Linked DNA regions of Mus musculus. The protein of the gene in region 1 interacts with the protein of each later gene in a pairwise test. Links are inferred from orthologs where the notes say so. Each region holds a gene or a part of one and is shown in the gene's direction. Other genes may lie near its edges. The genes, in order: Ralbp1 and Cep57.

Region 1 (15,375 bases):
CATGGAGCTTTTCCACTGTACTACTTTGGTATCTAGAAGAAACCCAGCAAATGTGTGTGTGTGAACACGCACAAGTGTGTCAGGGGAGGCAGAGAGCCTGAGACTGACTGGTAAGAAACTCAAGACCGAGTAGAACCTTGAGAACGCTGGTTGCGTTGCATGACTATTACCACAGGCCTGTTTTCCTTGTTGGCTGAGTTCTACTTACCAGTTGCTGTGAGGAGAGAAGGAAGAGCAAAGATATGGGCTAATTACTACTGAACCTCCAAAAATAAGGGACTGAGGTCGCTGTTGCTGTGCAGATCGAGAGCTGGGGGTCTTCATCTGAGAAACTGCAGGTGCTGCTGTCAGATAACAAGACCAGTGGACACCATGTATCCTTTTGTTATCTAGGAGTTCCTTTTGAATTGTTTACATCGAGATCTGCAGGGCGGGATAAAGGACTTATCTAAAGAAGAAAGATTATGGGAAGTACAGAGGATTCTGACTGCCCTCAAGAGAAAGCTGAGGGAAGCTAAAAGACAAGTGAGTTATTCTCTTACATCTTGTGTCTAATAAACCTACAGGAAGTGTGGATGAGCCTTCTGTACACTGCTGTAAGATATTCTTTTAAAAGTAGAACATACCTGTCTGTTGATGCTAAATTCTCTGGTGGGAAATTTATTCACACAAATGTTTCCTGCTTTGTGTTATTCATACTTTAGTGTGGTATAAATCAAATATTTCATTAAGTTTAGAAAGACTTTTTGTTTTTTAATTACAAAGGTGATCTTGTTATTTCCTGCCTGGTTTGTGTCTGTGGACAGAGCTGTAAGAGTGAGAGACACTGCTGAGAAGTTTGAGTTTTGAATGGAAATGCAGGGCTGGAAGGCCCAGGACGGATTCTGCTTTGCAGTCACTGGAGGGAAGAACCGTGTGGCCCTGCTGCTTTGTTGGGAGTGCACAAGGCCCACTTGTGGTTTTGTGCTACTTTAGTGTGTGAAGCTGAGTCTGGATTCAGTTTCCCAGTCACATCAAAGCTAAAATCCACACCTCTGAAAGGTCGTACAAGCCACATGCAGACCCAGCAGCAGATTGAGTAGCACAGCCTGCGGACACTAGTTAACACCTCTGGGACCTGGAGAGTGGAGCTGTGGGTCATTGTGAGAAGACAACACCTCAGGCCTTTTGCTTCAAGGATACGGCACTTGTTGAGAGCACAAGCCTGAGATCCTTGTAGCTGCACACAGTTTTCAATCTGGGAGGGAACCTTTCCTTTTGTTTTTCTCTCCAGCTCACTAAACTGTCAATCTTTTGTTTCCTCTGTCTCATGGACTCTTTTTGTTGTTGTTGTTGTTTGTTTGTTTTAATAAGATCTCATGTGGGCCAGTAGTCTCAAGTTTGTTCTATAGCCAAGGTGACCTTGAACTCTGGATCCTGCTGCCTCTGTCTCCCACATGCTGGATTATAGGCATGGGCCACCATGCTTGGCTTTGGATGTGTGCCTAAGTTTCCCAGGGCAGATTGCAGTTGTTGATCTAATTGCGTTGTCCAGCAGCCCTTATGTGAAGAGTCCGGGACATAGATGGATGTTTGGCTTTTGTGTCTCTTCGTTATGTGTGTCTGTGTTGAATAAAAGGACTCTAGCTGTGGAAACGGCTTAGTTGCTTAGTGCTTGCTTTTGCAAAGATAAGTACCAGAATTCAGTCCATAGCACTCGCGTGTTATGGCTTATACCTGTAATCTCAGCACTGGGAAGGCAGACAGGAGGTCCCTGAGCTTGAAGGCCAGATAGTCTAGAGGTCAAGGTTAAGTGAGAGACCTTGACTCAAAAAAAAAAAAAAAGTTTGAGAATGGATTAAGAATGACACCCAACAAAGACTTCTACACACGTGCACACAAATGTGCATACAAGTACATGACTATACTTGTTTGTGAGCACACACATACATATATCAGAGGCAGTGTGGTTGTATGACAAGGGACAGCTATCTTCTCTTTTTCCTCTTACCAATTGTATTCTCTCCCTGACCATTCCCTCTCCTTGATGACTTATTTTGTAACTACATGCTCAGGTTCCTTCATGCTGGCTTCTCTTTTGAGGGAGAAATTACTTAAAGAAGTATCATTCAGTGGATTAGTGACTGAAAATAAGAAAAATATAGCACCAGTTTAACCCTGATATCATCTTGGCACTTTCCCAAAAATTAACCATGTAATTATCAATCGTATAGTGCAGAAATTTCACTCAGCCATTATCCTCTAAGAGAAGCAGCCACAACCCATAAGCCTTCACAGAACATTTGCAGACTGTTCATAACAGCTAAAGCAGCAGCCCCAGAGCCCTGCAGCTGGTGAGAGGGTATAAAGTTAGGATGCATTCATTCCAGCCTCCCCATCTTCCCTCTGCCCTCACTACCTGTATCTCACTGGTGCGTGTTCACCCTCTGGGTGGTTCACACTCATTCACACACACACACACACACACATACACACCTCAGGAACAAACAGTTCCAGAGTCCTCCTTAACTCTTGCCCTGGGTCTCTGGAGGTTTCTGCCCCACGTTGGGCACCATCTGACCAAGCCAGCTCAGTCAGTCAACAAGTTCTCCAGGGCAAGAGCAAGGAGTAAAAAGAAAAAAGACAATTAGACAACATTGCAGCATGACCCCAACCAGCTCTGAGACTGAGGTGGGTTTATTTTTTACCAATCTGCTTTTATACCATTTTAATTACATGCAAGTAATTAGGTCAGTTCTAGGTTAAGGAAAAAGCAAGACAATAAACACAAATAGGCGAGGAACAAGCAAGGCAATAAACAAAGCCCCGGGATCGAAGTTTCTAGGCCTTATCAGGATGACCAAGATATCTGAGCCTACTTCCCTGTCCTAGTCCAAAGTCACATTCTTGCTTAAGCCTACTTCTTTGTTCTAGCCTAAAATCAGATTCCTGCCTGGACTTCCTTTCCTGTCCTAGCCCAAAAGTAGATTCCTACCTGAGCCTGCTTCCTTGTCCTGACCCAAAATTAGATTCCTGCCTGAAACCTACCTCCCTGTCCTGACCCCAATGTCAGATTTCTGCCAAGCAGCTCCAAAAGCTCTCCACAGTTCACACACTGGTTGTCACTGAGCAACTACTCACACCAGCATAACAGACAGAAGCATCTTAAAGCCAAGTATAAAGCTAGAGAGAAATGACCTGTTGAGCCAGTTCATCTGAGACCCGAGAGAGAAGCTGTTAGGATTGAGAGCAGGTCTGTGGTGCTGGGCACCAACAGATGGAGCAAGGGCAATGTTTCCTAACAGGGTGGTGGTGGTTACTTGACTATGTGTATTTGGTAAAATTAGTTACATTATGAAATTGACACCCAGTAGCTCCCTTCAAGACATCTCATGCAGTCAGGATTAAGGGAGCATATTCATCAGAAATAAGCATTTTTCATAGTGTAGCCACAGACCGAGATAACCATGTCATGGTCTTTTCTTACTTTAAAATGTTTATTCTTTGTGTGTGCGTGTGCATGTGGGTATGGACATGCAGTGGCACGAGTGTGGAAGTCAGAGAACAACTTGCCAGAGTCAGTTCTCTGCATTGTGTGAGTCCTAGGGAAGGCTTCTTGATACCAAGTGTCTGCCACGGGGCCACCTTGCAGTCTCGAACCACATCATAGTCTTTTATGGTTTGATTTGGTTTTTTCTTTTTGAGATGGGGTCTTTCTGTTGTCCTGGGTGTCCTGGAATTTACTATGGCCTTGAACTTCAAGCTAGCCTTGAACTCACATAGCTCCTCCTACCTCTGCCTCCTGAGTGCTGGGATTAAAGGCGGGTACCACCATCCCTGCTCTTACCTACAGTATATTCTAAGCCTAGTTAGCAAATGTCCGGTCATCATTACAGACAGTTCCCTACTGCTGCTGGGGTTTTCTTCATTTCTGTAATTTAAGAGGACCATTTGTTGATTGTGTGTTACATGTAGGCCGAACAGTTCATCATGTGTTGTCTTTGACAGGAGTGTGAAACCAAGATTGCACAGGAGATAGCTAGTCTTTCAAAAGAGGATGTTTCCAAAGAAGAAATGAATGAAAACGAAGAAGTTATAAATATCCTTCTTGCCCAGGCAAGCTATACCTTTTGATTTCTAAAGGGATTTATTGGTCATTTTTCAAATAGAAGCACAACTATAGACTTTTTAAAACCAAAATTGTAATGAACTCCAAAGAAGTTGTTCCTGTTCTGTGGCCCTACCCTTGTGCTGTGTGTGCTGAAATGTTAAGTGTGGAGGGAGAAAGAAGCTGCCTTCTGTTTAGCTTCCTCGTTTCTGTAAGTCGACATAGAAGTATTGTGGCATGTTCCTGATTTACAAGAACAGAAACAAAAACTCTGAGGAGAGAGAAGCCCCAGATGATTTTCTTAGAGTTTCCCACCTCAGCTTTCTTGGAGTATAACTTCATCCATATATGCTCTGAGGTAAACGACGAGGGTCTGTGTTTGAGCATGGAGAAGTGGCCTCTCTCACTCGGGAACTTTTCAGTGGTTCCTGGACTGTGCCCACAGTGCCCACGGTGCCCACGGTGCCCCTTGTTTGGAAGGAGTTGCTGGTGCTCTTGCCTCCAAGGCATCTTCTCTCTACTGTTTGCTCTAGACCCGAGAGCCCTAGCTGGAGTGCAGGCAGGGCGCTCTCCACATCACTGCTCTCAAGCAGTTTAGGAATGGTTAACCTGTCAAGAGTTCTTACTTTGATCTGAAGGGCGTGGCTGGGGACAGTGAGGGAGATCCTGTAACCTTTCCTTCTGTCTGTTCTGCCCCACACCTGACACTGGTACCAGCCACACATGCATCTCTTGGGTCCTGTTCCTAGTGATGCTGAAAAGTCACTGTGACCCTGAATCCTGAGAGACAGGAAGCCAAAGCTGATGAGTTTTAGATCATGTTTATTTGTGCATATGTATTGCACATACATGCATTCAGATCCCCCCTGGGCCAGAAGAAGGTGTTGGACCTCCCTCCAACAGATGGTTGTGAGTCCTTGATGTGGCTGCTGGGAGCCAGATGTGGGTCCTCTGGAAGAAGAGCAAGTGCTCGTATCCGCCGAGCAGTCTCTTCGGCCGCGAGCAAGGCAAAGCAGATGTTGCCTTTGGGTCCTCTGCCGGGGTGTAGGGGGCTCATGGGAGCCTTGCAGAAGCTACAGCTGGCCCTTGTGTGCACTTTGTTGTTAAGAAGGGTCTAGACCTTCTCTCAACGTGACTTGGTGTAGCTTTTCTTGATTCTGAGACAGTGGCATGGTTTTGTTGTAGTAACTTGTGTTCAGCACCGAGCAGGGTGACAGGAGAGGCTCTGGAGAGGTGGCATTTCCTCTAGCAGAGCTCAGACAGGTGCCACCCATTGTCATTGTTTCAGGAGAATGAAATCCTGACAGAACAGGAGGAGCTCCTGGCCATGGAGCAGTTCCTGCGTCGTCAGATCGCCTCAGAGAAAGAAGAGATCGACCGCCTCCGAGCTGAAATTGCGGAGATCCAGAGGTACAGGGGCCTCGGACTGGAAGCTTCCAGCCGGGTTGTGCTGTATATGAGCAGAGCTGAGCTAAAAGTTCAGTGGTTTTCATCTTCCTTGTGCATGGAGCCGTTAGCAGCCCCTCCTGTTGTGGTGACTCCAGCCATTACATTGTTTCCTTGCTACTTCATAACTGTAACTTTGTTACCATTATGAGTTGTAAGGTAAATACTGATATGCAGATGGTGGCCTTAGGCGACCCCTGGGAAAGGGTTGTTTGGCATCCATAGAGCTTGTGACCCACAGGTTGAGAACCACTGTTTTAGACATTCCTGGAAAGAACTGGGTTTCTGAAATCAGTCACTTTAAGCTCCTTACTGGGTCTTAGGCAGCACTGGGTCAGGTCGATGCTCAGGCGTGGGTGGGTCTTAGCCGGCCTCGGAGTTCACTGTAGTGCTGCCTCGTCTCCACACAGCCGTCAGCAGCATGGCCGCAGTGAGACGGAGGAGTACTCGTCCGACAGCGAGAGTGAGAGCGAGGACGAGGAGGAGCTGCAGCTCATCCTGGAGGACCTGCAGCGGCAGAACGAGGAGTTAGAAGTGAGTGGGGGACAGCCTCCAGAGGGTCTTGGGACCACAAACCACCTATTTTCTCACTGGAAACTTACGGTGGAGAGGAATTCAAGAACACTTGTTTTTTAAGATTTACTTTATTTAGATTTATTTTATGTATATGAGAAGTACACTGCAGCAGTCTTCAGACACCACAAGAGGGCATCAGATCCCATTACAGATGGTCACAAGCCACCGTGTGGTTGCTGAGAATTGAACTCAGGACCTCTGGAAGAGCAGTCACTGCTCTTAACCGCTGAGCCATCTCTCCAGCCCTCAAGGGCATTGTTAGCAGGATGAAATGTGTGCTCTAGGCTGTCTGGAGTGGGGCGTTTTCCCCTGACCTTGGTTACAAGTGAGCCTAAAAGAGGTGAGAGGCGCCTGGCCACTGTCCTAAGTCGCCTTGCAGTGGCTTTCTTGTAGTCTGTGGGGTACCACAGAGGAGTGGGTGTGACAGGATGCCTAGGAAGCTGGACTGAGAGGGAGATGCTGGCCTAAGCGGGGTTCTCTTTTCATCCTGAATAAACATTGTCTTCTGTAAGGACGACTAGGTAAACAGACACCTTTGCTTCATTCATGTTCACTGAACTGCCTGCCAGGCAAGTGCGCATGGGGTCAAGCACAGAGGCTGGGCGCGGTGGCTCAGGAGGCAAAGAGGGGCATTTCTGAGTTGGAGGCCAGTTTGGTCTACAGAGTGAGTCCAGGACAGTTGGGGCTTGAAAAACAACAGAAAGATAGAAAAACTACTGTGGCTGGAAAGATGGCTGAGCAGTTAGGAGCACTGGCTGTTCTTCCAGAAGACCCAGGTTCATTTCCTAGCACCCACATGGCAGCTCTTAACTGTCTAACTCTGGTTCTAAGGGACTCAACACACTCACACAGACATAAATAAAAATAATATTTTAAGGATTGCCCAGGACTCTGCTATCCACTGTGTGATAGGATCCAGGGACATGGCCCCACTGGTGAAGGGGCTGCAGTGAGGCTGAGGCCCGGAGTTAAAGCCAACTCCCTTCACGTGCACACACCTGTGTCACACACGCACCTGTACCCCTTAAGGGATCCCTGCACTCAGGAGGCAGAGGCGCACAGAGCTCTGAGTTTGAGGCCAGCCTGGTCTACAGAGTTGAGACCTTGTTTTGGAAAACATAAGAAAGGAAGTTAGTGTGAGTGAGACGGGTTGCTGGGAATTCTGGCATTTAGAAGACACATTGGCAACCTGGTTTGATCTCCATTTTCCTGAACAGGAACAAATGGCAGAATCGGGAGTGTTCTGTTGTGCACGTGGCGTAGGGCCTGCTCGAGCCAAAGCGGCTCCCCTGCATCTCGCCGTGTTCTCAGTTGGGGAGGGACGGGTCAGGGCTTCCCCAGTGTCACACCGAGCGAGCAGTGGGACTGGCACCTCTGCTCACCTCACTGAACCAAAGTCGAGTTGTGGGCACAGCTGCTTAGGATGCGGGGAAATCCCGAGGAAGAAGGGTGTTCCGATGGCTGGGGCGGTTGCAGGAGCTCGGGGTGAGCTACCCGTGAGTTCCTGCTGAATGAGTGAGTCCCCAGCATTTAAGCAGCTGTGGTTCCCACACTCCTCAAGGAGCACAATTCAGATGTGGTCAGTAAAGAGAGACTTTGACTTGGGAAGAGTCTCAGCTTTTACCCAGCCCTGGCCCCTGTCCTCACTGCTCTGGTGACACATCGTTTCCTAAATGTGTTTCTCTTTGTAACTCAGAGTCCATACTCAGGCATTCAGAGTGATGCTTGTACCCTAGCCACATATCCATCTTCTTATCTAATGCTGCACCAGCCAGGCTGGCTAGAATAGAACTAGATCTTTCTCAGGATGGCTTGCAGCCTGTGCTCTGCCTAGATTCCTTGTGCCCTTAAGTGGTAACTGCCCTTTCTGTCATTCTTTAAGATAAAGAACAATCACTTGAACCAAGCAGTCCATGAGGAGCGGGAGGCCATCATCGAGCTCCGAGTGCAGCTCCGGCTGCTCCAGATGCAGCGAGCCAAGTCTGAGCAGCAGCCGCAGGAGGAGGAGGAGCCCGAGAGGCGAGGGGGCATAGGCCCACCGCCCTGTGACGGTGTCCTCGAGGTGCGGGTAGCCAAGGAGCAGGCGAAGGCCTCGCCCAGCAAAGACCGGAAGGAGACGCCCATCTGAGCTGCGGGCCGGGCCCTGTGCATCTTACTGTGAGTGTGAGTGAGCCGCCTGCCTGCTGGACACTCTGTAAAGGCTCGCTCTCAGAGACGTCCCCTCTCACACACGTCTGACTCCGTGTCAGGCTCAGGGCCTGGGAGGCTGAAGCAGTGGACACACGGGGGGCTTGCAGGGAACACAGGCATTTCCAGATAGTGTCAGCTTATTTGAAAAATAATTTTCTTTGTTAAAAATAACTATTTTAACCTTTGAGTGGCTTCTTTTTAAACCAAAAATTCTTTTCTTTGGCTTTTTTTTTTTAAATCACAGCAGAATCAGGCTCTCTTTCTTATCAAAGGGTAGGAACCAAATCAGGTCACTTCTGCGCCTGCCTCGTGGACGCTCGTGGTCTCCCCAGCCCTGCAGGGTCTCTGGCCACTCTTGTTTGTGCCTTCCACACCTTTTGGTGCAGATTGTTCAGTGGGGAGCTGCCTCATATTCTCTGACTGGCCAGAAAGGCTCTCGCTGGGGTTCCCTGCACCACGTTGCTTTTCCACTTCCGAGTTGGGTCTGTCTGTGTGAGTCAGGACGGCCCAGGTTGGTGGCAGACAGAAGTTACCTGTGCAGCCTGCCACCAGCCTGGGCAGTGCAAGCCACTCACTCACTGCCAGGGATCAGCAAAGGCCTCTTCTCTGAGGTGGTCGGAGGTGACCACCTTGACTCTGAGGCGTTGCACAGGAAGCTTCTCAAACCAGAGCCCTTCTCCACACTGACCTTCCAAGAAAACCACAGTGACTTCAGCTGCTAGCTTGGGCTAGGATACACACCTCTGCCAGGATAAGCCATGTAAATGCTCTCACGCAGAACGTTCACCTTTCCGCGTCATCTCAAGGGGCTGCTATAAGGACTCTGACAGAACCGAGCCGAACCGGTAGCTGTGACTGACCCCACCTGGTGTTTGCTTCTAACTCAGATGACTGCTCCCCGAGTCTGGGAGGCCTGCCTCTTAGGCAGCCAGATCTCACTGTCAGATGAGTGGCCCCCAGGGAGGTCCCCTGTGGCTCTGAAGACAAATCCCACACTCTAAAGTGAGCGACAAACCCACAGGAGGGCTCTGGTCTCCTCCTAGTTAGTATTTATTTCAGCGCCTGTCTTTTGTGCGGTTTTTTGTTCGCCTCTGCCTATTGCACTGTTGTGACTTGTTGGCCATTATTTGATTTTTGTACGGAAAAAAAGCTTTGTTATAGAAATCAGCATACTATTTTTTTAAATCTGGAGAGAAGATATTATGGTGACTGGAAATATGGTCAGGTGTCAAATATAAATGTACAAACGCCTTGCTGCATCCCGTCCGGTGTACAACATCCACTTTATATTTGCTGGCAATATTGAAGAATTCTTTTTGTTTGTGTAAACTCTAATTTCTATCAAGGTATCATGGGTTTTTAAAATTAGTATTTCATTACAAATGTCTCGATGTTGGTTAACTAATTTTTGCCAGGACCATTATTGATCAAGGAAATAAATTCAACAGCCATTTGAGAAAAAAAAAAAAAAAAGGCTTCTATTGTCCACTCTTCTCTTTGAAATAATTGCATAGCCAGCATCTGGCACGAAGCTGGTGGAGATGCCCAAGGTGGAGAGCGAGTGGGAAGCCTTATTCCACCTCGCTCCTCGCCCATGCTGTGTGTGTGCTCCTGCTGTGGTCTCTTGGCCCTCTGCCCACCGTGCTTGCTGCTGACTGGGAGGGTTTGCTCAGACTGTGTGCAGTTCCTGAACCTGACAGTTTCCTGGTGCTGTTGGGAAAGCAAGCTCTGCCTTCTAGGTCAAGTCCAGAAGGCTTGGCCCAGTTGTTAGAGGTTACAGAGGTTTGCATTTTACATGTGAAATGAGGACTTAGAGCAGCTAGCATGCTAGAGATGTATGACAAACATCTGAATCTGTAGCTAGTAGTTTAACTGCACCACAGAATTTATGTTGCTTTACAGAAGGTTCCAGGTACCCTGCTGTGACATCTTAACTTCAGGCAGGGATCTGGAAATGAGGGCCCGAAGAGGATCAGCTCCCAAGCGGGGACTCATGGCTCTCACCGTGCTCTTCTCTGTAGGCGGCTCTGTACTGAACAACACCGGGCATGAAGTCCTGGGTATAGACCCTGGTGTCTATGTACAGAGCCAGGAGTGCTGGGAGCACCTGTAATTCTACCCTGGTGGAAATGAGGATCCTGTAAATGCTAGTTAGCTGCTCTAGGGGAGTCAGTGTGCTCTGCGTTCAGAGGCCAGCCCTGTCTCCAAAAGTAAAGCATAGTGATAGAGGACACAGATATCAGCTTTCTCATTTCACATGCCATGTGTGCTCATGCAGGCCTGTACACACACACACACACACACACACACACACACACACACACACACACAATATATACCCTGGCTGGTGACACACACACACACACGCACACACACACACAATATATACCCTGGCTGGTGACACACACACACACACACACACACACACACACACACACAATATACCCTGGCTGGTGACACACACACACACACACACACACACACACAATATATACCCTGGCTGGTGACACACACACACACACAATATATACCCTGGCTGGTGACACACACACACACACACACACACACACACACACACACACAATATATATACCCTGGCTGGTGACACACACACACACACACACACACACACAATATATACCCTGGCTGGTGACACACACACACACACACACACACACACACAATATCACACACACACACACAATATCACACACACACACACACACACACACACAATATATACCCTGGCTGGTGACACACACACACACACGCACACACACACACACAATATATACCCTGGCTGGTGAATCCAGCTGAAGACTGGGCTTTCTGGAACCTTCCTCCAGGTCGTTTTGCTAATGTTTTATTCGTCTGAGTATGATCTAAGCTTAGTTGATATTCTTCAGTAGAAACAAATCAAAGACCCCTATCAACTAGGTAGAGAGATTGTGATAAGATTACACATTTGTAAGATGATGCATAATTAGTAAATGGTTCTATACTGGACTTCAGGAGACCCAGGAAGTAAGGACCAAGTAGCAGGGTCCTTAAATTCCCATATACAGGCTCCCTCTGCAGAGCAGTAAGGTGCTGCTGCTGTGTCCACGTCCCCCACTGCCCAATTCCAGCCTGGATGCTTGTCCCCTCTAATCTGGAGTTTTGCCACCATTCAATTAGTACGACCCATGAAAAGTTGTTCTAGTTTGACAGAGGAAAGAGGAATAGCTTCATTTGCAGTGAGCTGTAGTTAATTTTTAAAACTGCTTCACGTCTGCTCAGTACCATGTCCTCTGGTGATGTCTTCAGCAAGGTGCAGGCTCCTGCCTCTCTTCAGGTGTGTATGTACTTCAGGCGAAGGGGCCCTGGGTGTCTGGTAGTGTTGGGGCTTGGGCTTCTCAACTGTGAGAAACGGCTTTCAGGGAGGCACAGGAAATACATAGCTTGCATGCTTCACCCCCAGTAAGCAATTTTATCCTGTAGGGCTTCATTTCTCATTGACAAAACAAAAATCCTCATTTCAAAAAGGAAGGTTTATTAGATTTAATCCCTAGTGTAGGGCTTTAAGGCATAGACGTTTCCTGAGGACATAATCTGCATATTGTCATGAAGCGCCAGGGCACAGGCAAGACTGCATCAACAGTTTATTTTGTGTGTTACTGTATGTCTGTTGTATGTCTATTGTAGGTAAGTCTATTACTGTATGTATGGTGTGTGGAGGCCAGAGGCTGACATTGGGTGTCTTTTCTTGATTGTTAATTAGTATTAAATATCTTTTTACATAGTAAATATATCTTATTTTTATGGGATTTCATATATAACATACTTTGATCCTATCACCTCATCCCTCTGTGTGTCTGTCCTTTTGTCGGTTTAAGAAGAGACTGTCAGACAGATGTCTTAGTCCTCTGGCTTAGACTATCCTCTTCCCCCGCTCCTGCTCACCAGCCTTCAGTGTACAAATCGTATTGCAGATATATTGATTGGATCAAACACCTCAGTCCATCTCTGCATATCACCAGCTGTGGCTTTCTGTAATCTCTGCCTGCTGCAAAAAAGAAGCTTTTGACAATCTGTGGTTATGGGGATGAGTTTAGAATGACCCTGGTGAGGGAAGTGGCTGCAGGCCATCTGGGCTCCAGGTCCTCATCAGGCATACGTGGTACCTGGCTGAGTTCATAGAGCTAGGCATGAATTCTCTACTAAGTGGGCCTTAAGTCCAACAAGGCGACTGCTGGCTACCCATAGGATGTACAAGCCATTACTTCAACATGGTCACTAATGTATTACAGCAAGATGGTACTGATAATAGCATTGCTGTGAGCGGCTTGCATGGTTCCATCCTGAGAGCCAGTCCCCAGCGAGAAGGCTTCCAGGTTAAATCCTGTGTTGGAAGTGTGTGGTTGCCTTCAGCAGTAGGGTTTTGTCTTTTTTTTCCTGGACGGCATAAACGACAACAACAAGGCCTGTATCGTTTGGGGATCTCTTGGACTGCCCACTGGCCAGCAACTCTAAAGGAGGCTCCCTGTGCCCAGCACTGAGATGATGTCTGTTAGCTGTTCTGTGTATTTTGGAGGAAGTGTCACTAATTGGCAAAACTTCCACTGAACTACATATGAACTTACATGTTTGTATGTTAACATAGATAATATACATAAGGTTTTCTGACAAAGTCTTTAGCTTAGCTATCCTAAAACTCAGAGATCCACCTGCCTCTGCCTCCTGAGTGCTGAGCGGCAAAGGTGCACACCACAGCTGGCTCTGTAATTTTGAGTCATGGTGCAATGTTGTCTGTAGCGTTTCAGTAGCCTTAGTGTTCGCTACCCCTTCTCCCTCTCCTGCAGGCAGGTCTCTATCCATCTAGTGTTTCCCACAACACCATCCCGTTTCTCTGGTATCTGATTACTCCAGGTATATTTGCATCTGAAGATTCGGAGCTACCATCTACAAATAAGAAAACAAATATTGTGTTTGTTTTCTTTGGGGGGGGCAGGAGCTCAGTATACTACTTTCTAGTTTTGCCCACTTAACCTGCAAGTTTAATGCTTTCATTATTTACAGTGGAATAGTATTCCATTGAGTATATGAACCTTACTATTCCTCCTGTTTCACATTGATTCGTCGGGACTGAGCTTCTAGAATCCTGCTTCCTTGCCCCTCCTCCCCCACCCCTGGGCACACATCCCTGCTGCCTAGCATTTTACATGAACGTGACCCAGGGCCAAGCTGACACTTGCCCAGCCTTTTCCAAATGGCGGCACTTATGGTCACTACAGCTTGAGACGAGAAACTAGTGTCTTTCCAATTACCCTGGGACTGGGGGTTCCAGCATAGTCAGGACAGGTGGATATGGAGGAAGAGATTCTCCCTGGGCTATATATGCTCATCCTCCTGGCTGCTGTCTGGGGCTGTAGGCTGTAGACCGCAGGTAGGTAGATCTCAAAATTCCAGCTCTAAGTAGAGAAAGCATTAAAGAGCGCTGGGGCCATGCTGCCTACTGCCTGCCAAGCAGCCAGACGAGCCAACTTTTGTCTTTGACAAAAGCTGCCAATTTTACAATTGTTGCTCCCCTGGGATAGCTGCTCTATTTGAAGTTCTAGGGGGTTAAGAAAATCTAAAGTGTTGGTATCATGGTTAACTCCCAAAGCTTCAGGAAAAAGGTTATGTACCAAAGAAATGGCCATTCCCTGGGCAACCACGCAAGCAAGCAGGAACTCTAGTTCCGGGGTGGGATAAGGGAGTAGGAGGCAGTCAGCAAAAGGACACAGGCGACAGTCTCTGTTGCCTCTTAAGTCAGAAACTGCAAATACTTGTAAACAAAGGGGAGAGAGACGGGCTGGGGAGAGGTGAGCAAGCTGCCTCTGAAGAATATGGCTTCTCTGCAAGGAACAGAAGTGGGGAGGGGCTAAAGTGTTACTAAAGATCCTACAAGACCACATGGTGACCAGGGAGTTAAAATATTGCAGACCAAATTCTCTTGTGCTCCTCTTAGTTTCTCTGAAAACCATTCCTTGTTCACTGTCACTATCAAAACTCCTCACAATGAATTCTCAGCAAACTATGAGTTTCCGGTAGGACGCACACCAAGCTTGTGGCTAGGGAACCTGAGTCCTGCAGCAGAGGTCAGTGTGTTCTACCCACCCGCCTGGTGTTTCCACCAGGGTAGCTGAAAAATACATCTCGATTTACCACCTTTGTCTACTTACTAGAAAAACGTCACGAAACTTTGCCATGTTGGAATATGGTGTTTGTGGGGAGCTAAGCCTGTTCCGTGACCACTTTCTTCTGGCTCCAGAATAGCCTCTTTTACTCCATTTTGGGGTGAGAAGCTGAGCATTTGCCTACTCAGCAGCCTATAGGCTCCCCAAGGCTAGCTACACAGTATGAAGTAGCTACAAGGCACTTATTACTACTGTGTACTAGTCACAAACTGTCATGGGAATACATTATATCTGTACTTGCTTTTACATCAGGAAAACTACTTCAAGTACTAATTGGTTTGCTGTTGCTTTTGCCTGAGAGACCTGGCTCTGCAGGTTTAATGGCTGTGTTTCTTTTTTTTAGCAGGCTGCCATTCTGGCAGCTCTGGCTGCTTCTGGACAGTCAGCTACTGAGGAACTGACATTAAAAGGTGACACGGTGTGCTGGTTACTTTTGGTCAGCTTGGCACAAGTGAGTCACTAGGAGGAAAGTAGCTTCCATCAGAGATGCCTGTGTGACATTTTCTGGGCAGATGGTCCTGAACTGTACAAGAGAGTGGGCTGAGTAAGCCACGGGGAGCAGGCTAGTCAGCAGTGTCCCTCCTGGGTTCCCTCAGTGATGGACTGGGATAAAGACAAACCCAGTCAGCCAACTCTTTCCTGTGCTAGGTTTTGACAACTGGACAAGATAGCAGCTTTGTCTAGAAAGAGATGTCAGTTAAGGAACTGCCTCCGTCAGACGGGATTTCTTCTTGGAGTAATGATTGCCATGGGAATGCCCAGCCCAGTGTGGGCCTGAGGTATATAAACACGCTGAGCCGGTGAGCTTTGCCCCTCAGGTGTCTGCTTCAGTTCCTGCTCCAGGCTTCTGCCCTGGCC
Region 2 (15,871 bases), on another chromosome or scaffold:
CCTCTTCCTTCCCCCCCCCGCCACAGGACACAGGACAGCTTTGGAGGTGTTGTCTCCTTCTACCATTAAGTGGGTTCTGGGAAGTAAAGTCAGTTTTAAAAACCTCAAAATCAGTCTAGGGTTGAGGAGTCTTGTAGGTTAGGAAAAGGTTTTCTCTTTCCCCTTTCCTGGCCCTGGGACAGATGTAGAGGAGAAAGGGAACAAGAGGCACCAGGAGGGGTTTAATCGTTGGAGGCAAGACTTTAAAAAGCTAAGTAGAGACAGACCGGTTACATGCTTGCTGCTTGTTTGGAAGAGGGAAGAGCTAGTTGGGTTTTCTATTTAGAACTAGTTTTTTGGTTCAAGTGATTGCATACATTTTTCTGCTTCTTTTGTGAATTGTAAGCTAAGTGATTTTGTTATAATCACTTAGTGTTATCACTTAGCTTAGTTTGATGTTAAATGATGGGGTTCTAGCTGATTCTAGCTATTTCTAGCTAACCAATAAAAACACAATGTTCTCAAGGTACCAGACAATTCATAATAACATTGACCATATTTTAATATTTTAAGAAGTGAAAACTTAACTGTTTTTGAGGTTACCTTCAACACAATTTTTTTAAGGTTTATTTATTATTACAACTAAGTACACTGTAGCTGTCTTCAGACACCCCAGAAGAGGGCGTCAGATCTCATTACAGATGGTTGTGAGCCACCATGGGGTCGCTGGGATTTGAACTCAGGACCTCTGGAAGAACAGTCAGTACTCTTAACCACTGAGCCATCTCTCCAGTCCTCAAAACAAACTTTTATTCTCACACAGGTATTTGGATAGTTCTGCTTATTCCAGGACTTGGTTTATTGTTATGAATACTCTTCTTTCTTTTGTACCTACACAGACTACACTAATACAAGATTGAAAATCCTAATTTGGTATGACATTCTGGAAAGAGCAAATGAGTATGTGAGAATTTTGAACAGCTGGCAGTCTAGAATCTCCATTACTTCCTTCTTTCCTAAATGTCTAAACACTATAAACTCAACAACTACTACTAAAATTCCAGTTAACATTCAGAGGTATACTATGATAAATTTATATCATGTAGAGCATAGTGTCAAATTTGACAAATTCATGACAGATGGTGTATGTGAAGAAATAGTTTTATATGAGAATATCTCATAAGCCTGAATGTTTTACAATTGTTTCCCCCTTTGAGGAACTAAATATAAATTCTTTAAGAAAAGAACATGCTGGTGTCTGTGGGCTAAGCTGCCACAAGAGGACCATGCCTGGGTTCAGGATGGGGGGGGGGGGCTGAACCTAGTGTCATGCAGATGTTACAATCAAGGGCCATTTAGATGTCAGTGTTCTATGCTGCTGCCCAGAGCCCATACTGCCAACCGGGGCCATATTGATGTGAGTGACCTGTGAAGCCACCTGAGGCTCTGTCTAGGGCACTAGTCCCACTGAAGCTGGAGGGCTTTGTTGATGTCCATGGACTGTGCTACCACTGAAGGCTGTACAGTCTCATCTGTGCTGCTGCCTAAAGCCATGCAGATGGTGTGTGGGGGCTGAGCTGTGCCATGGACTGTATGGACCTCTGTGGACCATGTTGACCCACTGGGTCATGTGTTGTCCTTGGTTTGCTGCAGCTGAGGGTTATGATGGTGCCTGTGGCTTGTGCTTTGACAGGTGGCCATGATTTCTTTGTACTGTCATTGGAGACCATGCTAAGGTTCTTGGAGTGTGCAGATGCTGGAATCCTTGATGATATTCATGGTTCATGCTCTTGCCAGAAGCCATGTAGAAGTCCATGATCCGTGCTCATGCTGACACTACAGGGAAGGGAAGTTCCTTTTGTAGTGGCATTGAGGACTACAGATACACAGTTCAGAAAGGGGGACATAGAAGGCTTCCAGAAAACTCACCCCCTACTCCCAAAGTAACAACCTAAACAAGAAGTAATTGAAAAGAATGCTTAAAAATTGAGCCAGGCAGTGGTGGCACACACCTTTAATCACAGCACTTGGGAGGCAGAGGCAGGTGGATTTCTGAGTTCAAGGCCAGCCTGGTCTACAAAGTGAGTTCCAGAACAGCCAGGACTACACAGAGAAACCCTGTCTTGAAAACAAAACAAACAAAAAGAACAACAAAAAAAAACCTCAAAAATTGTGATTAAAGACTCTGAAGTATAGCCCTTCACAATTGATGGCTTCTGGCAAGGGTGCAGGTGGAGAAAGACTCAGTTTTCTTTAAGAGTCTGGTCACTGGGAATTTGACCATACTCCAGTGAATAGGTTTTTAGGCAGTTCACAAGGAGGGTTGGGGGGGGGGGGGTTGGCATCATAGGACTTGGAAGTGAGTGACGAAGTGAGTGACGGGAGTGCACGCTGTGAAATTCCCAAGTAATAGATAAAAACATTGTGTTCTTTACCGATGATTGAGTGATTCAGCAATTTGTATCTGTTTCTGATCTAAACAAAGATTTAACTTGCCTAAATATTTGTATTTAGGTTGTATGATCATGTATAAATAGGTAAACATTTAATTCTAAAAATTATATATCTTGACAATAAATAGTGGTTGGGTTCTCAGTCATGAGTATTTGGTTTAAATGTTTGAAAGATAATTACAGTATTTTGTTTTTCAGAGCGTCCTAGCTGAACCATCAAGGTCTAATGGAAATATGGTTCGTCATTCTTCGTCTCCATATGTATTGTATCCACCTGATAAGCCTTTCCTTAACAGTGATCTGAGACGCTCCCCAAATAAGCCCACATTTGCCTATCCGGAAAGCAACAGCAGAGGTAATCAACTGTAACAAAGTAAATGCTATTTGTTCACCCATTAGTTGAAACTTCTTACCTATGACATGTTATTTTTATATTAGAACAGTATAAGTTTCCCCTTTACTTTTGAGTGCTTTTCATGTAGACTGCTGAACATTATTCACCAAATCATGGAACCTAAAGTACTTTGAGACACTTATCACTAGTCTGTCATCTTCAGAATCAGTCAGAAACCAAAGTCTCAGGTAGGGGCCAGAGAGATGGCTCAGGAGTTAAGAGCATTAGCTGCTCTTCAAGAAGACCTGAGTTCAATTCCCAGCACTCATGGCAATTCACAACTGTTTGTTGCTCTAGTCCTAAGGAATCTGACACTAGTTTTATGCACAGGGTACACAGAAAAATATATACAGGCAAAACATCCATACCCATTAAGTGAATAAATACCTTTGTAAAAAGTAAGGGTCATCTTGTAGAAAGCACTACTTGGACTCTGCGTTCTATTTCTCTAAAGAGGACAGACATTGAGTGGATGTATGTGTTCCTGGAGAGTGTGAGAGGAAGTGGTAAATAGGACCTAAAAAAGGTGTCAAAGAATAAACGAAACCAATACTTTATTTATTTTTAACCTAGGACCTTTATGGTTAGGGTTAGAGTTTCTGTTCCCATGCTTTGTGGCAGAGGCAGATAGCTAGATCTCTGGAGCTCACTGTTCAGCCAACATAGCTTTAATCAGTGAGCCTCAGTTGTGAAAGACGTTGGCTGAACAAACATGTGTTACCTGAAGTCGGTAACCAAGTGCATATTTGACCCCCATGCGCATACTTATATACTTGTGTGTTCATATAACAAAAAGACTGTGATATCTATTGTGTCCTTGTTGCTGGGGATACATGAACAAATAAATGTCTGCTTGCCTCAGAGACGGATCAACAACAGACCAAAGAGATAGTCTTAGTTAGGGTTTCCATTGCTGGAAAGAGACACCATGACCAAGGCAACTCTTGTCCAAAGGACAGCATTTAATTGGGACTAGCTTTCTTTTTTGTGGTTCAGTCCACTATCATGTCAGGAAACATGGCAGTGTCTAGGCAGGTGTGGCACTAGAGGAGCTGTTTATATGCTTGGCCAAGGGAATGGCAATATTAGAAGTTGTGGCTTTGTTCGAGTAGGTGTGTCACTGTGGGTGTGGGCTTTGAGACCCTCATTGGAGCTGCCTAGAAGCCGGTATTCTGCTAGCAACCTTCAGATGAAGATGTAGAACTCTCAGCTCCTCCTGCACCATGCCTGCCTGGATGCTACCATGCTCCTGCCTTGATGATAATGGACTGAACCTCTGAACCTGTAAGCCAGCCCCAATTAAATGTTGTCATTTATAAGACTTGTGTTGGTCATGGTGCTTGTTCACAGCACTAAGACCCTAAGATAAGCTGAGAGTTGTACATCTTGTTCCAAAGGTAAACAGGAGACTGACTTCCAGGTGAAGACTTGCTTCCAGGCCGCTAGGAGGAGGGTCTCAAGCCTACCCCCAAAGTAGCACTCTTCCTTCAATAAGGCCACACCTACTCCAGTCAGACCACAACTCTAATAGTGCTCCTCCTTGGGACAAGCATATTCAAACCACCACAAGATGATTCTATTAAAGATGAGTTTGATGAAGTAAAAGTTTATTGAGCTTCTTCACATGAACATGGGCAATTTACAGGTGACTAATGAAGAGTCTCCCCTGAACTGACAGTAATTATCAACCTCTGAGGAATCTCTAGGAAGAGGGCCTTCTATATTGCCTCCTGAGCTGTTTGGTAAGCTCTATGAGCCTCACCTTCCAGGAGACAATGTTAGGACACTTTTTTTAGGGTCTTATGTGGACAGCCATAGTGGCTCTGAATTCAGTGCATCATCTAGAGGCCAAGGGGTTGACAACATTGATGTTCTTTGGGACTGTTCTATAAGAGTTGCCTTGGTTATAGTGTCTGTGCACAGCAGTAGAACCCGTAGCGGGAAGAGAGAGAGACTGGGCCTAGTTTAGGCTTCTGAAACCTCAGAGCCCACCCCTAGTGACATTTCTTCCAACAAGTAGGACCACTCCCTGTTGACCAGAATAGAAGCCTATGGGGGCTTTTTTTTTACTCAAAGTACCTTAGAACAGCTGTTAATTTATGTATAATTAGCCAAGGTTTTTGGTTTTAACACAGTGATGGTTCTTGTTTAATTTTTACTTGAGTAACTAGTAGAACTTTAAAGAATTCAGATGATGCCTTGAAATGACTTTAGCAGGAAATGCTTTGTGAATAAAGTGCTCTGCTGCTTGGCTTACATCAGCTTTCTTTTCAGAGCTGGGCTCTGGCTCATACCTCTAGCCCAGCGTTTCGAAGGCTCAGGCAGGGTTACTGTGATTTTTGAGGTCATCCTGGGGTACAGAATCTGCCAACACAAAATTTCCTTTCTTGGTTAACTTCTCTGTGTGCATAGCTAACTTAAGGTGCGGTATGCTTTTTATATTTGTCAGCCATATTTTCTGCTCTTAAGAATCTTCAAGATAAGATTCGACGCCTGGAACTGGAAAGGATTCAGGCAGAAGAAAGTGTGAAAACCTTGTCTAGGGAAACCATTGAGTACAAGAAAGTATTGGATGAACAGATCCAAGAGAGGGAGAACTCAAAGAATGAAGAATCAAAGCACAATCAAGGTGTGTTTAATTATAAAGGAAACTAAAATCTATCCAAATACTGTAAGTTAGTTCACAATTCCACATTGGTATTTTGTAGTGGTCACTGGTAAGGAATTACATCATAATCATGTGTATTGTGAGGAGCAAGTGACGTCGTGCATAGTGCTTACTGGCAGTGTGTGGCATATTTGACGCAAGTAAGAAAGATCCTAAAGTCGTCCGGAAAGGTTTTGAGGAGTACTGAAAGGGAAGAGGCTGAAGGCCGGGAGGGCTGCTGTTTTCTTTTGTGGTACTCTGGCATACCGAGCAGGCACTCTACCGTGAACCTTACCTATGCCCCATGAATTTACTGCAAGTTCACTTCCTGCTTACAAGCTGTTGGGACAAGACTGTCTTAACTAATTACTACTTTTTTGTATGTATTCATTTTAGAACTGGCATCCCAGTTGGTAGCTGCAGAAAATAAATGTAATCTTCTAGAAAAACAATTGGAATACATGCGAAATATGATAAAGCATGCAGAAATGGAGAGGACATCTGTGTTAGAAAAGCAGGTACGGCACCTCTCAGATGAAATCAAGAATGGTGACAGAGGCCTGATGGCACTGTTATTATACTGTAAGTTCTTGGCCTCAGTGGAGTAGATCGTGGCTTGATTGGCTCTATTGATTATGACTCTTGTACTTGGTAGACTTGTGCTTGTTTGAAAGATAATCATGTTAATGTCTTGGAGTCTGCATTATTAATAAGCAAATAACCATATGTACCACTGAGATCCACTGTTTTTTGTAGAATTCTTTGCAATTAAAAAAAATACCTTATAAGTAATTTGGTTATTGAAGGAGGATCTCATATGCCTAGGCTGGCTCATTTCTGCTGTGCAGGGATCACCTGGAGCGCATTATACATGGTGTTATACATTATACTCTGCGCTAGGTAAGCACTCTACCAAATGAGCTATTGCCCAATTGTACATTTTAACAAAATACTTCTCTTTTGTTACATCAAAGTCTTTGTCTTTAAGTAACTTGCTACATTTGTAGAGGACAATTACAACATCAGTGTCCATTATATTTTTTAAACATCCTTTTCATATGAAAAATTTAACTTTACTATGCAAAGTTTGATTAGAAATTTCTCTTGTGTAATTCCCCATTGTCATGGACATGTGCAGAAATGGCAGACTCAGATTCTTAATGTTGGGTTTTTACAAATATAACCATTTAGTGTATTTGCCCTTTTTTTTTTCTTTTTTTGGAGATTCATTCCTTAAGTATATGGACAGTCTTTCCAAATCAGACCCTACATTTGGAGGAAAAAAGAATATATCTGTATTCAAAGTAAATAAATGCATACACGTTCTCATATCTGTTAAGAGGTTGCTTAGTAGGACCCAACTGACTAGAAGTACTTGTGTATTTGCATAGTTTGTATGTCTAATAAATTCTCCTTAGTCTAGAGTATAAGGATATTTTCCTTATATTAAAGCATATACTAGGTAAAATACTGTATGTTGAGAATTATATTCCAAGGCTGATGAGATAGTTTAGTGGGTGAAGGTATTTGCAGTGAGGCCTGAAGAACAAATTTGATCCCTCTGACCCACATGGCAAAAAGAGGGAACCAGCTTGAATATGATGTCCTCCGACCTTCAAAGGCATGCCGTGCGTGGCACACAAACAAAATGAGACACGGAGATCATTGATACCCTTGAGGTCTTAATGTTCTATTCCTAGAACTTCTTTCCGTATCAGCAAGTCTGAAAGGACAGGCAAATTACATATAGTATGATGTGGCTGTGTGCAGAGCCTACAGTTTACAGTTATCATATTATAGTGTAAAGTTAGCAACTTACCTTGATGCTGTTCCTCAGGTTTCTCTAGAAAGAGAACGGCAGCATGATCAAACCCATGTTCAGAGCCAGCTGGAAAAACTGGATCTTCTTGAACAGGAATACAACAAACTCACCGCCATGCAGGCCCTTGCAGAAGTAAGTCAGTAACATGACTTTTACCTACTGATGTAGAATGCTGTGGCTGTCACTGTTTGCATAAACATGGGTATTTATAACGTAAAGGTCTTTCTCACACATAGATTCTTTGAAAAGAAAAAGATCAGTTGAAAAGTAATGCTGAGATTCCTCAGTCTTGGTGGCTGAGGATAGGTAGTTCTTTTTTTTTTTTGAAAACTGAAAGGTAAAGTGTTTTTTGATACTTAAATCTGGCATCATGTAATTTTTTTCTGAACTAATTTTATTTCTGTGTTTTACCCTGGAGATAATTAATACTACTGAGTGAAGATCTTGATTTGTCTTTATGTAGTCTTTACCTTTGTACAACCTGTGTATTTCAGTTGTAGATTTTCTTTCAGAGTTTGGCCACTTAACTCACACCTACCTCACTAATTACTGTTAGTTGATCTAATAGAACACTATTAGGCAAGTGGTAGGGATATTATCAAGGCCTGAACCACTAGTGGCATGAACTGACATGATTTTTGTTGTTGTTGTTGGTTTGGTTTGGTTTTTCGAGACAGGGTTTCTCTGTGTAGCCCTGGCTGTCCTGGAACTCACTCTGTAGACCAGGCTGGCCTCGAACTCAGAAATCTGCCTGCCTCTGCCTCCCAAGTGCTGGGATTAAAGGAGTGTGCCACCACACCTGGATTAACATGCTTATTTTAACTGTCCTTAAAATTCTACAAAAAGATACTTTTAACCGTTCCTGTTTTGATATTGTTATTGCTAGAAAAAGATGCAGGAGTTGGAGTCCAAACTCCGTGAAGAAGAGCAGGAAAGGAAGCGGATGCAGGCCCGGGCAGCAGAGGTGAGTGCAAGGAGGGACCAGTGCTTTAATGGAGGACAGTCCCACACAAGCACAGCACATTCATGTGGAGACTCAGATAGTTTAGGAATGGAAATCAGGAATGTAATCTACAAAGTAAAATTTGAGCAGTTCTTTCGATGTTTCAAATTGCAGAGTCTGAATTAGTATTTTAAAAACCTTTGAGGTTGGAGCCGGAGGGATTGCAGAGGATTAGAACATTTTGTTGTCTTCACAACCCACATGTGGCTCACACTCATCTTCAGCTCCAGTTCCATAGTGTCTGACTCTTCTAACCCCTGGCCACCAGGCACATGTACATACATAAACGCAGGCAAAACATCCATACATGTAAATTAGAATGTACGTGCGAGGTAAAAACAGGTCAGACAGAGTAGTAGTCACGTAAAGCTAAGGTCTGATGAGCTACTACTAGCTCGTTCAGTACCCAGTATAAAGTATGCCTTGGGTTGGAGGTAAAGTTGAATGGTAGAACGCTTGCCTGGCATTCATTCAGAAGACACTTGGTTCAGTCCTCAGCACTGCAGCAACAAAACTGTTAACATACCAGGACAGACTTGTTAAGCTAGCAGCCTGCCCTAGCAAAAGAACGGACTCTACTCTCTCCTACTTTTGAAATCTGTGGCCAGCCACTGGAGGTAGAATTGTGTAGATTGAAAGCATCAGTTTATGTATTCCAACCAGAACTGCATTATCAAAGATACTGCAAGAATAATAAAGTACTGCTTAGACTCTACAAGATAAAATTGTTTTATGATTTGGCTAGAGACTTTTCTCTGATTACTTGTTCAGATATCTTCCAGATAATCTCTCTTTTCCAACCCTTTAAGATTATTACAATGTATGTAACTTTCATCATAGTAACCCATAGAAGCAGGTTCTGATATCTGAAGTTACTGGTAGAGCCTTGATAGTTGAGTCTGTGGCACTGTGTCTAGATGCGGTTGTAGGAATAGAAACATTGCAGTTTTTTTTCTGGAGCTTCTTTGAGTCATTGATTCTTTTATATTAAAATTGATAAGATTGGTAAATTTACTCTCTGTGTACTTGTTGGGTTAATGGCCATTTAAACAGTTTTGATTTTTAGAGAATTTCTTCCAACTTTAGAGATAACTATTTTACTGTGTTTCTGTTCCTTAAATGTAACCATGCATATGCATGGGTAATTTTTTATTCAGTTTTAGTGTATAGCCCTTATATGCCAAATAGAAATTTTCACAGACTCATTGATTGATGAATTGTTCAAGTTTGAGTTGTGATGGTGAATGCCATGGTAGTGGAAGGCAGATGCGTTTCTGTATCTTGTTGGTTCCGGTTTGTATAATCCAAAACAGATTATTTAGCCATCTAGAGCCTGGGTTTTATAGTGCTAGTGAACTCAAACGAGAAATGATAATAAAAGTACTTTAAAATTCAGGCATACATAAAAGAAATCAGCAAGGAAAACTAGATAGATAAGATAGAATCGAAAAGTGACTTTTAAGGGGTTTCTGTTAGAGCTGACACTTTTTGACACTGTAAGGATGATTTCCTGTGGAGTTAGGTCTCGTATAAACTATTAATAAAGTATGAGCAAGGCTGCCATGCTCCCGAGGGTGGAGAGCTGGCATGCCATTGCCGGGAGACCCTGTCCTAAGCATGCATGAGACGGGAGGGGGTGCTCGGTGTTCTTTGTTTTTCATTCATTACTTCTGCTGTTCCCTAAAGTTCAGTCATAACTTCTGGGGAGCTTTGCCTCGTGTAGAAATTGTAAACACTTTAGAGAAAAAAATCTGCTGGTTGGAATTTTTACCAAACTCCAGGCTTTTGTTATATAGGGAGACAAAATGGCCATTGACAGAGAGTTTGAAGGAATTTGCGTCTCCCTCCACCCCCCCCAAGATTTGCTTTAAGTATTTGGGAGTTTTGCCTGCATGTTTTGTATATGTGCCACATGTGTACAATGCTTGCAGAGGCCAGAGGTACTGGACCCTCTTGATCATTTAACCTGGGAGTAAATGGTTAAAAGCTACCATGTGGGGGTTGCTGGGAACATTTTCTCTGATGGGAGCAGCAGAAAGTGCTCCTAAGCCCATCAGTCTCTCCAGCCCAGAGGAGTGTAGAAATTCTACTAAAAAGATAACGATTGCTGAAATAATTATTGCTACTTTTGAGCATTAAACAGGAAGGAATCTATTTTGCTCTTGAGTTGCTTTGGGTCTACTTTTACGGTAATCATGCTTTTAAAAGTGAACATAGCATGCTGTCATTCATTCATTAAATGGAGCTGTGTACATTCCATTTAATTTCTGAACTAGAATTTGCATACTACCTACCAGTAGTGAAACAGTGCTTCCAGGCAGTACATAGCCAACTGTGGCTTAGCAGTTCACATAAATGAGAGGCTAAAGACATACAGTACATCCATGCTGTCTCATTGAAATGATTACTACTGTATTGTACAGACTTAAATGGTGCCTCGTATGTGAGTTGTAGCTTTTATTTTACATCATTAACTCTATGCTATTTTTTTCTAGTTACAGAGTGGTCTAGAAGCAAATAGACTTATTTTTGAAGATAAGACTACTTCATGTGTTTCAACCAGCACTAGAAAAATAAAAAAAAAGAAGTCAAAACCACCAGAAAAGGTATGAAAACAATCAGTCAGAGTACCAATTTTGTGTAAAAATTTGTGTAAAAAGTACTCAAAGCTGTGTGGTATTAGAACCTTAGGAGGTAACTCTCATTCTTAGTTTCCATGTTCAAAGGTGAAGATAAGTAAGATTTACTCATGAATTCTTACCTTGGTTCTGAGGACCTATATGAAAATTGGGAACCATAGAAGATCATAAAAATACTAAAAATATTCAGCCTGTATTCATTACCTTTCTCTTAAAATGCTTTGTTCCTCTACTTAATTCTTGCATCTGTTTTGTTAGTATTCCCCACAACCTCCTTAGCCTTCAAGTAAAACGAGGTTGTTCAGCCAGCACTATACGATCCCAATATAAACAAGTGTGGTTTGAATATAAAACGTCCCCTATTAAATCACTGGAAAGTAGGCCTTGAGGTTCTTAGCCTGACCCTTTTCCTGTCCTCTATCTTTACTTCTTGACTGATGGTACAGTGTGATGAATACACACCCATTCCCAGACCTATGGTTGCCATGCTTTTTCCATAATGAGTTTTATCTTATTAAACTCTGGGCCAAGTAACTTCTTGAAGCCTGGTTTCTGCAGGAAAAAAAAGAGTGGTACACCAAGGTACCCAGTAGTTCCACAGTGAGCTGGAGTCTTGGATTAGCTCACCAAAATAAAATAAAATGATTTTCTTTTTTCTCCATCCAGAAAGGTTCTAGGACCTATTTTGGTGCACAGCCACATTACAGATTGTGCTTAGGTGATATGCCTTTTGTTGCTGGAACGGTGAGTTGTAGCTATTGTTTTTATGTTTAAAATATTTTCAGTATCTTTAGCTTTTTTTATTTCCTGTTAAACATGGATATGGGTGTTTTGCCTGTCTGTGTGTCCTGTCTGTTTTAGTACTCACGGGGGCCAGAAGAGGGTGTTGGGTCCCCCGGGACTAGAGTTATAGCTTAGAGTAACCTGCCATGTGGGTGCTGGGAATTGAACGTGGAATTCCATTGAAAGAGCAGTCAGTGTTCTTAACTGTTGAGACATTTTTTCAGACCTTATTTCAGTCTTCAGAAAACACATTTTAGGGGACATTAAAAGAAAAATCCTGCATCGGCTTTGGGAGTGCTAGAATTATAGATGTGAGCCACCATATGTAGTTCTAGTAAAACCTTGTAGAAGGCACAGCCTAAGGTTTTTTTCTTGAGTCTTTGTATAAGCCTTTATAAGTACAGTTGTGAAGTTATTTTTTACACAAACTTACTTTTTGATTTCTGTGATTATTACAAACTTTGTTTTCAATGTGAAGAAATGGGGAGTTGGGGCACTTTGACCCTGTACATGTGAAGATCAGGATACAACCTGATGGGATTTCTCTCTACCATGGGTTCTGTAGATAGAACTTAAATCGTAACACTTGTACAGCAACCATCATGGTGTCCCTATATGGTATGCTTAAATCTGTAATTATACATTTACCTATTCCATTTGACAATTGGTTCATCTTTGTATTGTCCAGTCTTGTCTAGAGTCCTTTCCACCCATTTTGTTGTCTTGGCAAATTGTCATTGAAGCCTTTAATCACAAAGGGCAAGACAAGGCTCTTTAATGTGAAGTTGTTTTATATATTCTTTAGAAGTGTTATTCCAAAAGTTTAAGAAAACACAATTGTTTACTTGAGCTTCTAACAGTAACAAAACTTTTTAAAATCTGTTCATTGCATATTAAAGTATACACATTGGCCATTAGAGAGAGAGAGAGAGAGAGAGAGAGAGAGAGAGAGAGTGTGTGTGTGTGTGTGTGTGTGTGTGTGTGTTTTACTGGCAAGTAATGAGTATTCACTCTTTCTGATGGTCATGGGCCACCTTTTCATTCCTAGGATCACCTCATTTGAGTTTGGCGTGTATGATTCTTCCCCACCACAATTAGCCAAGACAAATTAACAAATAATACAGAAACATTTTTAAACAACAAGCACATTAGGTCTTAAGTTATTCCCCTAAATCTGCATTTTAAACAAGTTAAGTCTGCTGGTGACTTATGGAGCTTAAACAAGCCCAGCCAACTATTGGAATTGTTATTTCCTATTGGAAACAAGTTCAAGAAAGCTATGAAGTTTTATTGTATTTTTATGTTGTGGCAGATAAACGTTAGCGCTTCCTACAAGAGGCAAGAAGGTCAGTTGGGTTGTTTGATTTTAGATGTGGTCTTGAACTCCACTATAGCACAGGATAAATAATTTCTGGTCCTCCTGCCTTCTTAAGTGCTGGAATTACAGGTGTGCAACAATTTATATGATGCTGGGGACCAAAGAAGGGCCTCTTACTCTTACATGCTCCTTAAGTACCTGCCAACTCAGCCACATCCCCAGCAGGGTGTTCATTACTAACTGAAGACGTTAGTACATCAGCCAAGTGTTTGATACAGGTGGATGGCTAGTTGCCAATTTGCCACAGTATAGTACATTTATGCCTTAGGATTTAGAGATGAACTCTTACTCGGGTTACAAACTAGAACCTGGCAATCAAGGACATTATTTGCTTGATTTACTTTTCTCTTTAGTCCACCAGTCCCAGCCATGCCGTGGTAGCCAATGTTCAGCATGTCTTGCATCTGATGAAACACCACAGTAAAGCCCTGTGCAATGATCGAGTTGTTAACAGTGTTCCCTTGGCAAAGCAAGCTTGCTCACGAGTTAGTAAGAGTAAGAAGTCAGTGGTGCCTCCTTCCAGCAGTGTTAATGAAGAACTTTCGGATGTCTTGCAGACTTTACAGGATGAATTTGGGCAAATGAGCTTGTGAGTTTTGACTTTTTGAATTTAAAATTACATTTAGTTCTAAAATCTCATTTTTTTCTAGCAGCTTGGATTTTTAATCCTAATTTTATTCACTGATGTTGAACATAGCCATTACACCAGCCCACTGGCTGGGAGTTAAACAAGCCTCCCTTTCTATTTTGTTAGATGTCAAATGCCAAGGCTTAGGTAAAAGCTCAGTAGTATTGAGGGTTATCCAAATATAACTAATGAGTTAGGACAGCGTTTGAAAGCCAGTGTCCCAGAGGATTTACTTTATAAGTGATGCTGATGGGAGAAGCAGATAAAAGTTTATATTAGCCTGCAACCCTGGATGGACCCAAATTTGTCTGGGATTAAGAATACTTGCATGTATCTTCATTTTTGTAAACCTTTGTTTTTATTTATGTATATATCACATGTGTGCAGGTCCCCAAGGAGGCCAGGAGAGGGCATCAGAGCCCCTGGAGCTGAAGTCACAGGTGGTTATGAGCCACCCATGTATAGAGCAGCAGTTTGTTAAAAGGAGTTATTTTTTAAGAGTGGTGAATCCCATAGTGAAATATAAAGGACATAACTTAAAAATGAGGAACTGAAGGTAGTCTCCCTTGTGGTTTGTATGCAGTGATCATCAGCAGCTTACTAAACTCATACAGGAATCACCAACTGTGGAACTAAAAGACAACCTGGAGTGTGAATTGGAGGCATTAGTGGGAAGAATGGAAGCGAAGGCCAATCAGATAACTAAAGTTCGAAAATACCAAGCCCAGGTGACTCCTGCCCTTCTGTCGTTTTTTCCCCCTTCATGTATATTAATTGATGATGCTTAAGCTGTTTCTGGAGATTTTCCTAACAGTCTGTGTTAAGAAGTGTTAGTTCTTATATTTCATATAAGATGTGTCTTTACTGACTATATTTAATATCCTTGGCTTTATGAACAAAACTAAGTGGTTTAGTTTGACTAAATTGTCTAAAAATACAGCTAGAATTTTTAATTTTCAAAGTCAGATTAAATATGTAAAAAAAAGTAGTATGTTTGCTCATACTAAATAATGACTAAAAGGAAAAGGGTTACTCACATTTAATAAGCCTACTTGGTGTTCTCATCTAGAGAAACAGACTGTATTTGAGATTGCTGTGAAATAGGGGTAGAACAGGGGTAGAGTCCAGCTCCTGGGTTGACAGCAATTGGAGTCTGGGTAGAAGTGGACAACTCTGAAGTAGGTTTTAGAAGTAAAAAATCCCTCTCAAGCTTCCAAATGCTGTGTGATGTGGAAGAACTATTTCACTGGCACAGAATCAAGTATATTGAGAATGCCATCTCACTTCATTTCCTTAAAACCCATTTTATAGGTGAAGTAACTGTGACTATCTCAGTAAATGAAATAACCTGCCCAAGGAGATCCTGTGTGGTTGTTGGTGCTGGACTGACAACTAACTAGTAGCTGTTAGAGTTTACAGTCTGGTCAAGCAGGGAGAATTCGAAGCCTGTCCCTCTCTCCTTAAGGAGACTTTTACAGTATTTATATAGCACTTATTTACCTGGCTGTGTATTTTACATATGTGATTTATAACTTCTGCAGATCTATGTGCTTTTAAAAAAACCCACCTAGAATCTATCACTTGAGTGTTAGAGGAAGATTATTTAAGTCAATGGTGTACTTAAGAAGTTGAGGCAGAAGAATCAAGAGTTTAAGACTGAACATAGCAAGACCTCGTATCAAAAACAAAGCTAAAAGAAAATGTTTTTATTGAATTCATTTTTTCCCTGTTTTGATTATTTGGTCAGCTGGAGAAACAAAACATAGATAAGCAGAAGAAGGAATTAAAAGCTAACAAAAAGACTCTTGATGAAGAAGGGAACAGCAGCGGTCGTTCATCTGGAGTCCCAAGGACCGCAAGTAAGAAGGATCTGGCCAAACAGAGACCTGGAGAAAAAAGCAGGAAAAATCTTCAGTTACTGAAGGACATGCAGACCATACAGAATTCACTGCAGAGCAGTAATCTGTGTTGGGATTACTGACACCAGGTCATAAATGATGTACCTCACTGGTCATAAACGATGTACGTACTGGACATGAGCAGACTTTCCAGGTCTCATGCTTGCTAAGCTGCCATTACTGGCAGGTGTTAGGGGCCAAGCTTCATTACAGTCTATTGTGCTATGTAGCACAACTGATGGAGATG

Evidence for each region.
Region 2: the proteins of Ralbp1 (region 1) and Cep57 interact in binary tests that used the Homo sapiens proteins (3 or more experiments, as listed by UniProt). The two-hybrid records come from large-scale screens. The link is inferred for Mus musculus from reciprocal best matches to the Homo sapiens genes RALBP1 and CEP57.

The regions. Positions count from the first base shown.
Region 1 is NC_000083.6:65,842,812-65,858,186, reverse strand, and holds the end of Ralbp1 (ralA-binding protein 1), read left to right. Parts: intron 1-393; coding exon 394-525; intron 526-3,987; coding exon 3,988-4,095; intron 4,096-5,375; coding exon 5,376-5,497; intron 5,498-5,943; coding exon 5,944-6,067; intron 6,068-7,991; coding exon 7,992-8,237; 3' UTR 8,238-9,772; downstream 9,773-15,375. UniProt on the Homo sapiens protein: Multifunctional protein that functions as a downstream effector of RALA and RALB. As a GTPase-activating protein/GAP can inactivate CDC42 and RAC1 by stimulating their GTPase activity.
Region 2 is NC_000075.6:13,808,443-13,824,313, reverse strand, and holds part of Cep57 (centrosomal protein of 57 kDa), read left to right. Parts: intron 1-2,630; coding exon 2,631-2,787; intron 2,788-5,275; coding exon 5,276-5,455; intron 5,456-5,869; coding exon 5,870-5,991; intron 5,992-7,310; coding exon 7,311-7,427; intron 7,428-8,181; coding exon 8,182-8,259; intron 8,260-10,793; coding exon 10,794-10,904; intron 10,905-11,603; coding exon 11,604-11,681; intron 11,682-13,451; coding exon 13,452-13,687; intron 13,688-14,309; coding exon 14,310-14,454; intron 14,455-15,417; exon of another isoform or gene 15,418-15,473; coding exon 15,474-15,707; 3' UTR 15,708-15,871. UniProt on the Homo sapiens protein: Centrosomal protein which may be required for microtubule attachment to centrosomes. May act by forming ring-like structures around microtubules. Mediates nuclear translocation and mitogenic activity of the internalized growth factor FGF2, but that of FGF1.